Linked DNA regions of Sus scrofa. The protein of the gene in region 1 binds, or shares a complex with, the protein of each later gene. Links are inferred from orthologs where the notes say so. Each region holds a gene or a part of one and is shown on either strand. Other genes may lie near its edges.

Region 1 (3,236 bases):
CTGGCCACATGCAGTGAGAAGCAGGATCTAAGGCGGCACCCATATTCCCACCTGGAGGACTTTTGGAGAACTTTGAGAAGCATAACAGAAAAGGCCTGGATTGCCTTAAATAGCCTGTTAGTAGAAATATGGACTTGCAAGGAGTTAGGGACATGTTCCAGGGAGTGGAGGAAAGGGATCTTTGCTACACAGTGGCAGAATGTCTGTGACACTTGTAAGCGATGCATGTGGATAAGAGCTGAGAACACAGAAGTAAAGTCTTGAAGGCACTGCCTGGTTTCCTAGGCCTTATAGTAAAAGAAGAGAGAAACTGGTTGTAAAAACTGTCAACAACAACAACAACAAATTCTCAGCCTCTCCAAATAGCAAAAGATGCTGAAATCCAGAAATGGGTGCTGAACTCTTGACACAGAAGCCACATAACCTACTGAAACCTGGAAAAGACCTAAAGGTCAGAATGTTCAAAGGACAGGATCTTCTCCCAGGAAGCAACCAGCAAGCTCTGGCACCCAGGACAGACTCTACCTGCTCAGGCCGAGGGGAAGCACTACAACTTCATGCTGCTGGCAGGAAGCAGGCTGAAAAATAAGCCAGCTGAAATGCCATTCATGAAAAAGGCAGAAAAGGCTGGGGAGAACCCTCCCGAGGGCAGGCATTGGACCAAGAGGATGATCCTAGCCCTGCATCAAAGCCCTGCTCCTGGTGAACCCAGACTGTTCCCTATGCCTGTCCCACACTGTATCCTGGGGAGGGGCCACAGAGAAAGAGTGTCCAGGAGCTGGGCTTAATGGGTCACCCAGAGAAGCCTCATCCACACTCAGTTTTGCATACGAGAGGGATCTGAATCTTTGTGAGCCAAAGGGCAGACTGCAGTAGGCAGAATCCTAAAATAACCTCTGCTATTTCCTGCTCTAATCCTCAGGACTATGAGATGACATCATGCCTCCGATCAGTTACACTGCACTTCAAAGGGAATTCTGCAGGTATCCCTACAAGTACCCACCAGTTGACTTTAAAATAAGGAGATGCCCCAGAATTATACAGTCTAATCCATCAAGTGTGCCCTCTGAAAGCAGAACAGGAAGTTAGAGCAACTGTGTAAAAATGACTCAACTCTTGGTTGAGGGCTTCAAAGCTGGAGGGGCCTCTAGGAGCACAGAGGGGCCCAGGTGGAAAGACACCTCATTCCCATGTCCACCCAGAACTGGAAACTGGATTCAGCCAATAGTCCCCAAGAGCCAAGTAGATTCCCCCCTGACTGACTGCCTGGCTAAAAGCCCAGCCTGTGACTATGGCCTTGAGACCCCAAGACAGAACCCAGTGAGCCTGCCTGGACTGTGACCTACAGACCTTGGGCTCATAAATGGTGTTGTTTTCAGCCACCAAGTTTGGGCACACTGTCAAACAGAACAGAAAGCTAATCTACACCCTATATACTCTACCCAGAACTTCTCTAATTGTGAAGCTCTACCTCTGGAGTATGGCCTAATGTTTATGTTGCTATTTACTAACTTTTGTAGTAACAATAAACTAAGAATTTTTTTTCTTTTTAGGGCCACCCCCTAGACATATGGAAGTTCCCAGGCTAGGGATCGAATTGGAGCTACAGTTGCTGGCGTACACCACCATAGCCATAGCAACGCAGGATTCCAGCTGCATCTGTGACCTACACTACAGCTCACGGCAATGCCAGATCCCTGACCCACTGAGTGAGGCCAGGGATTGAACCCGCATCCTCATGTAAACTAGTCAGATTCATTTCTGCTAAGCCACAATGGGTACTCCAACAGTAAGAAATTTTGACAAGTAAAAACTGTGAAATGGTGATTCTTTCCAAATTAAATGTCCACAAGAGAATTTTTTTTCACTTGTGATGCTACTTAACTTTATAAACCCCAATCAAACGTATTTGCATCTGCATTGGACACCCATGTACCTAACCAGTAGCCACTCTATGTTCTCCTTTCATGCAAAGTTTGTAAATCATGGATACAAATTAATTTAAGGCGATTAGGGAAATTCTATTCCTTGAGTCAGTAACTGACTGATTAAAGTCCACAAAAGAGTTTTTGTCTTGTTTTGTTTTTAGGGCTGCACCCACAGCACATGGAAGTTCCCAGGCCAGGGACAGAACTGGAGCTACAGTGAGGTCAGGGATAGAACTGGAGCTACAGCTACTGGCCTATGCCGCAGCCACAAGCAGTGCCAGATCCAAGTCACGTCCGTGACCTATACCACAGCTCATGGCAACGCCAGATGTTTACCCCAATGAGTTGGGCCACGGACTGAACTTGCAGTTGGGTTCATTACTACTGGGCCACAAAAGGAACTCCAGCAACAGAATTTTTCAGCTGATAAAATAATCTTGTATTTCTAAGCAAAGTAATTAAGTAAAGGTTTTCCTTCTGGCTATCACAAAAGGACACTAAATAAAGTCATTGATATCATATTTAAAAAGTCAGTTATTTTAAACATTTTTTCATCAACATATTATACTTAAAGGTATCTGAAATGTCAATAAGAACATCTTCCACTTAATTACACTTCATTTAGTTTTCTGGGCAGTTATTTCAAAAGGGTAATGTGTTACTGTAAATGCTAAATCTGTAATTGCTACTTTGAAAATTATTTAAAAGATCACACTGATTGCCTGGTGACACAAACCATATTATGATATGAGTGCATAACTGACCTCCTCCTAAAGAAAAGAATCTAAAGATATCTTGATTACATTAAACTTCCAGACCATCTATTCAATTTAAATAACAACTTTAAGAGAACATACCTGAAGAAAAACATGACAGTACACGGATCATATAATTCATACATTTTGTTGAAGTCAGGTACTTCTGTGATATCCACAAGATAAATAACTGCAAAATTTTTAACCTAAAAGGAAAAGAGGTTGGGGAGAAAAAAAAACAAAATGTAAAATGACAAATCATTTTTTATTCCATAAAAGCACATTTAAAAACAAAAACAAAAAGAATTTGTGTATAGGGAGTTCCCGTCGTGGCGCAGTGGTTAACGAATCCGACTAGGAACCATGAGGATGCGGGTTCGGTCCCTGCCCTTGCTCAGTGGGTTAACGATCCGGCGTTGCCGTGAGCTGTGGTGTAGGTTGCAGACGTGGCTCAGATCCCGCGTTGCTGTGGCTCTGGCGTAGGCCGGTGGCTACAGCTCCGATTCAACCCCTAGCCTGGGAACCTCCATATGCCGCGGGAGCGGCCCAAGAA
Region 2 (4,155 bases), on another chromosome or scaffold:
ACTAAACAGATTTTTTAAAAAGTCAGGATAAAAATAAAGAAAAAATTAAAACAAAACAAAAAGTCAGGATAAACAGTGATTGTCAAAGCCAACATTTTGATTCCCCCAAAAGGCTAATTATTATATATAAATGAAAACATGAGACAAAAGTTATCCATTGGTTTATTCTTCCCCACAGGGAATAGAGTTGACGGGCTCATCTAAGATCCACATCCACTAGGGCTGATCTTCACTTAAAAAGCTAAAACTTGCCTAGGAGATCAAATATGAAATAAAATGTTTACTATCCTCATTTTTTTTAACCATTCATTTGCTTCTGCTTCCTATCCATTATACCATTCTGTAATCAATTCAATTCTGAAAGCAGATCTACTACTGGTCACAATCTTTATAATTAATATAATTGAGCCATCATTTACATTTTCTATATTCAATTCAAAGTATTAAATACTTTTGATCTGAGCCCTAAGATCCCTCACTGCTTTTAGTGTCTTTTACCTTAAAGCTTTGTTTCCACTAATTTCCTAACAATTAAGGTAATAATCCTACAATCCAATTTTACTAACCTCAGTCATAAAATTTCTATGTTAGTGATTCAAACAGGCAGTGTTTTCTCATACATCATTTTACTGACTCAACAGTGCTACAACTGCCTTAAAGAGAGATTCCCCCTGCCCAATTCTTTAATTTTTAACACTACTCACAATTCAGTGACATCTTCCAGTACCATATCTGAAATTTGGTGTTAAGAAAATATATACCATGTTAAATTTACTCTGGCTTCTGTCTTTGTTCAGTTTTAATTATAACATTGGGAGTTCCCATCATGGCTCAGTGGTTAACAAATCCAACTAGGAACCATGAGGTTGCGGGTTCAATCCCTGGCCTTGCTCAGTGGGTTAAGGATCTGGCGTTGCCATGAGCTGTGGTGTAGGTCGAAGATGTGGCTTGGATACATCATTGCTGTGGCTCTGGCGTAGGCCAGCAGCTTACAGCTCCGATCAGACCCCTAGTCTGAGTACCTCCCTATGCCGAGGGAGCGGCCCTAGAAAAGGCAAAAAGACAAAAAATAAAAATAAAAAAATAACATTTAACATAATGACTCAAATTCAAATTGCTTGCGATTGGTAGGGGTACACACACCCCTTAAAACACTACCACGAATTCCATGAGAATAAATTAATTTTTATTATAATAATCAGTAAGCACTGACTATAGTTCTTACTTTTTTAAAAAAAACTGAAGATGGAGTTCCCGTCGTGGCGCAGTGGTTAACAAATCCGACTAGGAACCATGAGGTCGCGGGTTCCGTCCCTGGCCTTGCTCAGTGGGTTAAGGATCCGGCGTTGCCGTGAGCTGTGGTGTAGGTTTCAGATGCAGCTCGGATCCCGCTTTGCTGTGACTCTGGTGTAGGCCGGTGGCTACAGCTCCGATTCGACCCCTAGCCTGGGAACCTCCATATGCCATGGGAGCAGCCCTAGAAAAGACATAAAAAATAATAACAAAAAAAAATTTTTTTAATTAAAAAACAAAGAAAAACCCATACCCCCACTTTTTAAAAGGATACTGACAAAGTCATCAAATCCGAGAAGCGTGCCAACAATCTCTTTATCACTCTTCATCACAATGTGAATTCTTGATCCTATACACTTGTCTACAAGCTCTATAGATACAGGTTTTTTAAAAGAAAAATAAGTGGGGGGAGGGGTGAAAAAAATTATTTTGCACATTCATTACTTCAAGAAATATGTGAGTACTTACTGGCACTTATTACTTACATATGGTGAAAGATAAACCAAGAAAAGGATTCACTCAAAAACTTCAGGTCTCGGGAGTTCCCGTTGTGGCGCAGCAGAAACGAAGGCCAGCAGCTACAGTTCCAATGGGACCCCTAGCCTGGGAACCTCCATGTGCCTCGGGTGCGGGCCTAAAAAGAAACTTTTTTTTGTTCAATGAAGGAAAAAACTTTCCAATTACCGCCACGTCCACTAACTTAATTACCCTTCAGATACAAAATATTAGAAAAAGACATAACTGTCTTCCCCAGCCCCAAGACGGCTATCCTCTGTTCTCTGAGAGCAGCTTGAATATCTCTTCAGCAGAATTACTGTTACTTGGTATGATGTTTAATTGTCTGGCATCCTGTCTCCTGCGCTGGCATGAATGCTACCTGAAGCTAAGTTACGATGTCTAGTCTACAGATGCGCAAAAACTGTTTGTGGAATAAATGAATGACAATCAGAGCTAATTTCCAGTGTCCCCTTTTAAAGCTCATTGCAGACCCCGCTACCTCTCTCAATAACGGGCCAGACAGACAACAGGGTCTAACCTAGGGATTTTAAATGCCAGGTAGAAGAATGGGACTGCTATCCACTACTGTAAAGGCGAACTCACAACAAAAAAGGCCGACGACGCATTCACTAAGTGTGAACCTTTTCCAGTGACGGTTTGGTGTGAGAACTCAGAAAGTCCTGGCTCAAGAAAACCCTTCCACGCCGAAAAGACGCGGGCGGCCTGAGGCCTCAGAGCCTTAGAGCCCAAAGAGCCGCGGATAAAGAAAACAATTGGTCAGATACATTTCTCTAACACTCAGTCAAGGACTGCGCTGGCCCTCGGCCCGCAACCCTTCAGCTCCCCTCCCCAGCTCCCCACAGGACAACGATTACCTAGAGGTAGCAGCTGCGACGGGTTAGTCGTAGCGTTAGCCGCCATGGCTACGCCGGAAGTGGCCAGCCTCTACCGACGTTGGGAAGGCGAGTTTGAAAGAGCGCGCTTCCGCTTTTTTCCCCTAGCCCGGCCAGGCTCGACCAATCTGAGGCCGAGCGTGCGATCGGGCCAGTCCTACGTGAATCGCTCGGAGTCACTTCTTTCCTCCGCAACGAGATCCGGGGGAATACATCAGTGCGTTGAACATTCTGCGGCCTCAGCAGATACTTTGCCCTCCAAGTTTCCAAGACAAATTAAAGATATCTTGCCTTATAAATAAAATATTCCTCAACCTGGAAGACTGCAAAATAGAAACGTTTGAGTCGTTTGATTTTCCCTGGGTTATATTTCATTTCAACCAAGGATCTTCTGAAGACCAACATAAATATTTTTTCCGCCACTGATTTTATTGTGTTGCAATTTTTGTTAAAAAACAAAAGCAAAAACTTTTTTTTTTTACAGGAATCTACCGCTTTTTTTTTTTTTTTTTTTTTTTTTTTTCTTTTTAAGGCCACAGAGCAGATACATGGAAGTTCCCAAGCTAGGAGTCAAATCGAGCTGCAGCTGCCGGCCTAGCCACAGCCACAGCAATGTGGGTTTGAGCCGCAGCTCGCAGCAACAAGGGGATCCTTAATCCACTGAACGACCCCAGGAATCCAACACACGCTCAGGTATACTAGTTGGATTCTTAATCCTCTAAGCCACAAAGGAGAACTCCCTACCTTTTTTTTTTTTTTTTTTTTCTTTTCTTTTCTTTTCTAGGGCTGCACCTGCAGCATATGGAGGTTCCCAGGCTAGGGGTCTAATCGGAGCTGTTGCTGTCAGACTACGCCAGAACCACAGCAACTGCCAGATCCAAGCCACGTTTGCGACCTACACCACAACTCAGGCACAACGCCGGATCCTTAACCTACTGAGCGAGGCCAGGGATCGAACAGGCAACCTCATGGTTCCTAGTCGGATTCCTTAACCACTGAGCCACCACAGGAACTCCCCTACCTTCTTTTAAAGGTTCAGTGTAGGAGTTTCCATTGTGGCTCAGTGGTAAGGAACCCAACCAGTACCTGGGGACAGGGGATTGGATCCCTGGCCCCACACAATGGGCTAAGGATCCGGGGTTGTCATGAACTGCAATTGTAGGTCTCAGACGTGGCTGGGATCTGCTTTGCTGTGGCCTAGGCCAGAAGCTACAGCTACGATTTGATCCCCTAGCCTGGGAACCTCCATAGACTGCAGAGTGCGGCCCTAAAAAGACCAAAGGAAAAAAAGTTTGCAAACCCATAGCTAGCTTTAAAGAAATACTTTTCTGGGGGTTCCCCTCGTGGCTCAAAGGTAAGGAACTGGATTAGTATCCTTGAGGACAAGGGTTCAATCCCTGGCCTTGATAAGTGGATTAAGGACCTGGCCTTGCTCTGAGCGCTGGTGTGGGTCGCACAGGTGGCTCTGATA
Region 3 (4,300 bases), on another chromosome or scaffold:
CCATCGATTCCTAGAAAAGAAGACATATTCTGCAAATTGGAGGACCAATGATATATAACTCATTTCAAACGTAACTGCTTTACTCAAAACCGGGCCCACAAATTTTTGTGATTTCATCATGGAAGAGGAGAAAGACAAAGATGATGAGGGTCAAAAGATAACAATGAGATAAAGCTCAAAGATTTTGAGCTTTGGAAATATACTGCCCTCCCTCCAAAGTAAAAAATCAAAAAGAAAGCAAAACAAAACACCTGCTTTCATACTATGGATGCTTGAATGATATTTATAACAACAAAAGTGGAATTTGGTCTGCACAGCAAAGGAAACCATAAAAAACAAAAACAAAAAAAAACCTACAGAATAAGAAAAAATAGTTGCGAAGGATGCAACCAACAAGGGCTTAATCGCCAAAATATACAAACAACTCAGTAGAAGAAAAACAAACAACCCAACTGAAAAATCACAGAAGACCTAAATAGACATTTACTCAAAAAAAAGACATACAGATGGCCAACAAGCACATGAAAAAATGCTCAAAAGCATTAATTATCAGAGAAATTCATATCAAAACTACAACGAGGTACCCCCTCACACCAGTCAGAATGGCCATCATTAACAAGTCAACAAATAACAAGTGCTGGAGAGGGTGTGGAGAAAAGGGTACCCTCCTTCAGTGTTGGCGGGAATGTAAATTGGTGCAACTACTGTGGAAAACAGGATGGAGGTTTCTCAGCAAACTAAACAGAAAACCACCACATAATCCAACAATCCCACTCCTGGGCATATATCCAGACAAAACTATAATTCAAAAAGATACATGCACCCCTATGTTCACTGCAGCACTATTCACAATAGCCAAGACATGGAAACAACCTAAATGTCCACTGACAGATGAATGGATTAAGAAGATGTGGTACATATACACAATGGAATACTACTCAGCCATAAGAGAATAAAATAATGCCATTTGCGGCAACATGGAGATCCTCATACTAAATGAAATGTCAGAAAGAGAAAGACAAATACCACATGATATCAGTTACATGTGGACTCTAAAACATGGCACAGATGAACCTATCTACAGTATGGAAACATACTCACAGACATGAAGAACAGATTTCTGGTTGCCAAGGGGGAGGGGGGAGTGGTGGGATGGACTGGGAGTTTGGGTTTAGGAGATGCAAACTATTACATTTAGAACAAATAAGCAATGAGGTGCCGCTGTATAGCACAGGGAACTATATCCAATCTCTTGTGATAGGACATGATAGAAGATAATATAAGAAAAAGAATTATGCATGTATGTATGACTGGGTCACTTAGATATACAGCAGAAATTGACAGAACATTGCAAATCAACCATAATAAATTTTTTTTTTTTTTTTTTTGTCTTTTGCCTTTTCAGGGCCAAATCCACAGCATATGGAGTTTCCCAGGCAAGGGGCTGAATCAGTGCTACAGCTGCCAGCCTGCGCCACAGCCACAGCAATGCCAGATCCTTAACCCACTGAGCGAGGCCAGGGATTGAACCCACTAGTCGGGTTCATTAACTACTGAGCCATGAAGGGAATTCCCCATAATAAAATTTAAAAAAATAAAATAAAATGTAAAAACAGAAAAAATAGAAATGGACAAGGGAAGACAAAAGAAGTAGGAGTGGCAAGTTAGTAATAGAAGAAAAGAGTTACTGAGACAAGGGTTAACCAAGAATCTTGAAAATACCATGAAAAAATTAAGATCTCTCTATGGACAAGAAACACATGCTGGCAAAAGGTCTAAAAATTGTTTTCCACCTCAGGTACACTTGTTAAGGCCAAGAACCTTTCAATTCTTATATTCTGTTTTTACTTTCACTGAGTTTTAATGCCACTACGTCTCCTTGCACCAAGCATTTCAGCAAAAACACTGCCCAAATACCAAGAGAAAATGGACTTTGGATTTGAATAAAAATCATTTTCGCCTTATACTCACTTGGCTCTTCTTTCCTCTTGCATCTGTGGTTTGGTCCGTTGAGCCTTATCTCCCATACGGGTACCTTCCAACTTCCCAACCAGGGAGAGCACCTCTCCTGTGGGTTCATCCCGGCGGGTCCGGTCAATGAGAGAGCGGTCAGCTTGGAGGACAAGATTCGAGTTCTGAAAAGATAACAATATGATCGAAGTTCTGACGTGAGCAGGACCAATTCCTCTATCACAAGGTGATAACCATTAGTTGGAATAAGATATTTTCCTTAGAAAGAGCATCGTACAATTGCGCGTGAGACAGAGGTAATCAAATAGGTAGAACAATCCTTGCTCCTAACACTGCCCACAATAATTCTCACCTGGGAAAAGTTGGGGGTGACTTACGGAAGAGGGCAGGTAAAGCGCTGAGGGGACAGGGGACAAACACTCCTAGCAGAGCTCTTAGCCCATCCCACTCGTCCCAGACACCAGTGGGGTTATTAGTCTTATCATCATGTACCCACACCTTCGCCCGGATCTGACTTCCCCTCTGATTTGGCAGTTCTTCCGAAGGCCTTCAGACAGAAGCTCCCTTCCGCAGACTCCCGCTCCCCACCGAGGTCCCCAGCCCAGAGCCCTGCGCCGAGCCTGCACGCACCGCCTTGTACTCGTACTGCAGGCTACGGGCGGTCACATCCGCCATGGCCGCCGCTGCTCCGGGGTCTCAGCACTCCTCTTCCCCCACCGCACGCTCTCAACGGTCACGGATATCCGCTACCGCCGCGCCGAAACAACGCAGAAGAGACGCAATGGAGGGAGAAAGAGACGAGCTTACTTCCGCTTCCGGGTCGCTCGCCGGAAGTGCAGGTGACCGTATCTACGGCGTGTGCGTTCCTCTTTCCTGAGACCTTATGGGCTCGGTTGGTTGGACCGACGAATTCCGAGACCCTCAGACAATGGTTCCGGACCCACGTCCCGTACTTTCTTACACCTCGGCCTCCGGCCTCCAAGACTCCTCACATCATAGCGAAGCGTACGTCTGTTTACCCCCTATCCTGTCTCAAGCGCTTTTCTACCGGCTTCTTCCTCTGGAAACAGTCCTGTGAGCTATGCCGGCAAGGAGAAACTAATGAACCCCATTTCTGGCTGAGAAAACTGAAACACCTGTGTGCCTGTGTCTGATATCTTCCTTGGGTTTTTCCTCTATATTGAACGATTGAAAGAACGCTCTGTTCCCCACCTGTCCCACCTAAAACCCATGCCTCCGGAGCTCTCATTCTGGTCTCACTTTACGCGGCAGGGCCCTCCCCACGATTGAAGAACTTCGGTGAAAGCAGCTACCCTCCTGGCAGGCCAACTCCTTGAAGACAGTAACAATTTCTTCTCCAACAACGAAGCCTATCCGGGCCCTGGAGGCACTCCTGCCTTCCTATCCCCTGCCTTCCCATCCCGAGTTCTGCTCTATGGAATGGCAACTAATAGCTGAATAGTTATAGCTTGTTTGTTTTTGAAAGATTAAGGGAAGCTAAAGGAATTCATCCTCTATGGCTGATGGCCATGGCCGACAGCTGCTGGTCCAAATTTCCCCTACAGGAGTATTTTGTTTGACTCACTATCTGGGATTGTTGAAAGTTCCTGGTGGCCTTGCAGTTAGGACCTGGCGTTATCTCTGCTGTGGCTCAGGTTCTATCCCTGGCCTGGGAACTTCTACATGCCAAGGGTGCAGCAAAAAAAAAAAATAAATAAATAAATAGCAAAGGACTGACCTTCTTACATGGCTGACTTGCCTGGTGCTAATCAGCAACTGCCACTTTCATTAGATGCACATGTTCTTCCCACAGACCCTGTAATTGCTTGGCCCCTGTAGGCATGAGGTTTGCAGCCCTGAGAGTTTTTTGTATATATAACTGGGCCTTCCAAGAGACAGTCAAGTTCTGTGGCAGCTCTGCTCCTCAGTGGCTTTGTGACTTTGAGTAGCTGCCTTGTTTCTAGGTGAGTGTCATTTTGTCATCCTTAAAATTGAGGCAGTAAAACTTTCCTCTTAGGTCTTTTGGTAAATGAGATAGTGTGTTTAAAAGCACCAGCAGGGGTTCCCATCATGGCTCAGCAGTAATGAACCCAACTAGGATCCATGAGGATTCGGGTTCAATCCCTGGCCTTTCTCAGTGGGTCAGGACCCAGTGTTGCCGTGACCTGTGGTGCAGATCGCAGACATGGCTCAGATCCTGCATTGCCATGGCTGTGGCATAGGCCGGCAACTTTAGCTCTGATTTCACCCCTAGGCTGGGAATTTCCATATGCTTTAGATGAGGCCCTAAAAAGACACACACAAAGTACCAGCAAAGTGCCTGACTCAG

Evidence for each region. Proteins that work in one complex are often made in the same cells at the same time.
Region 2: TXNL4A (region 1) and LSM5 share a complex: the UniProt entries of both Homo sapiens proteins name them as parts of the precatalytic spliceosome. The link is inferred for Sus scrofa from reciprocal best matches to the Homo sapiens genes TXNL4A and LSM5.
Region 3: TXNL4A (region 1) and SNRNP200 share a complex: the UniProt entries of both Homo sapiens proteins name them as parts of the U4/U6-U5 tri-snRNP complex. The link is inferred for Sus scrofa from reciprocal best matches to the Homo sapiens genes TXNL4A and SNRNP200.

What each region holds. Positions count from the first base shown.
Region 1 is NC_010448.4:127,977,884-127,981,119, forward strand, and holds part of TXNL4A (thioredoxin-like protein 4A), read right to left. Parts: intron 2,890-3,236; coding exon 2,786-2,889; intron 1-2,785. UniProt on the Homo sapiens protein: Plays a role in pre-mRNA splicing as component of the U5 snRNP and U4/U6-U5 tri-snRNP complexes that are involved in spliceosome assembly, and as component of the precatalytic spliceosome (spliceosome B complex).
Region 2 is NC_010460.4:40,751,040-40,755,194, reverse strand, and holds the start of LSM5 (U6 snRNA-associated Sm-like protein LSm5), read right to left. Parts: upstream 2,806-4,155; 5' UTR 2,713-2,805; coding exon 2,667-2,712; intron 2,656-2,666; exon of another isoform or gene 1,779-2,655; intron 1,664-1,778; coding exon 1,568-1,663; intron 733-1,567; coding exon 705-732; intron 2-704; coding exon 1-1. UniProt on the Homo sapiens protein: Plays a role in pre-mRNA splicing as component of the U4/U6-U5 tri-snRNP complex that is involved in spliceosome assembly, and as component of the precatalytic spliceosome (spliceosome B complex).
Region 3 is NC_010445.4:46,927,571-46,931,870, reverse strand, and holds the start of SNRNP200 (U5 small nuclear ribonucleoprotein 200 kDa helicase), read right to left. Parts: upstream 2,806-4,300; 5' UTR 2,647-2,805; coding exon 2,602-2,646; exon of another isoform or gene 2,470-2,601; intron 2,136-2,469; coding exon 1,972-2,135; intron 1-1,971. UniProt on the Homo sapiens protein: Catalyzes the ATP-dependent unwinding of U4/U6 RNA duplices, an essential step in the assembly of a catalytically active spliceosome. Plays a role in pre-mRNA splicing as a core component of precatalytic, catalytic and postcatalytic spliceosomal complexes.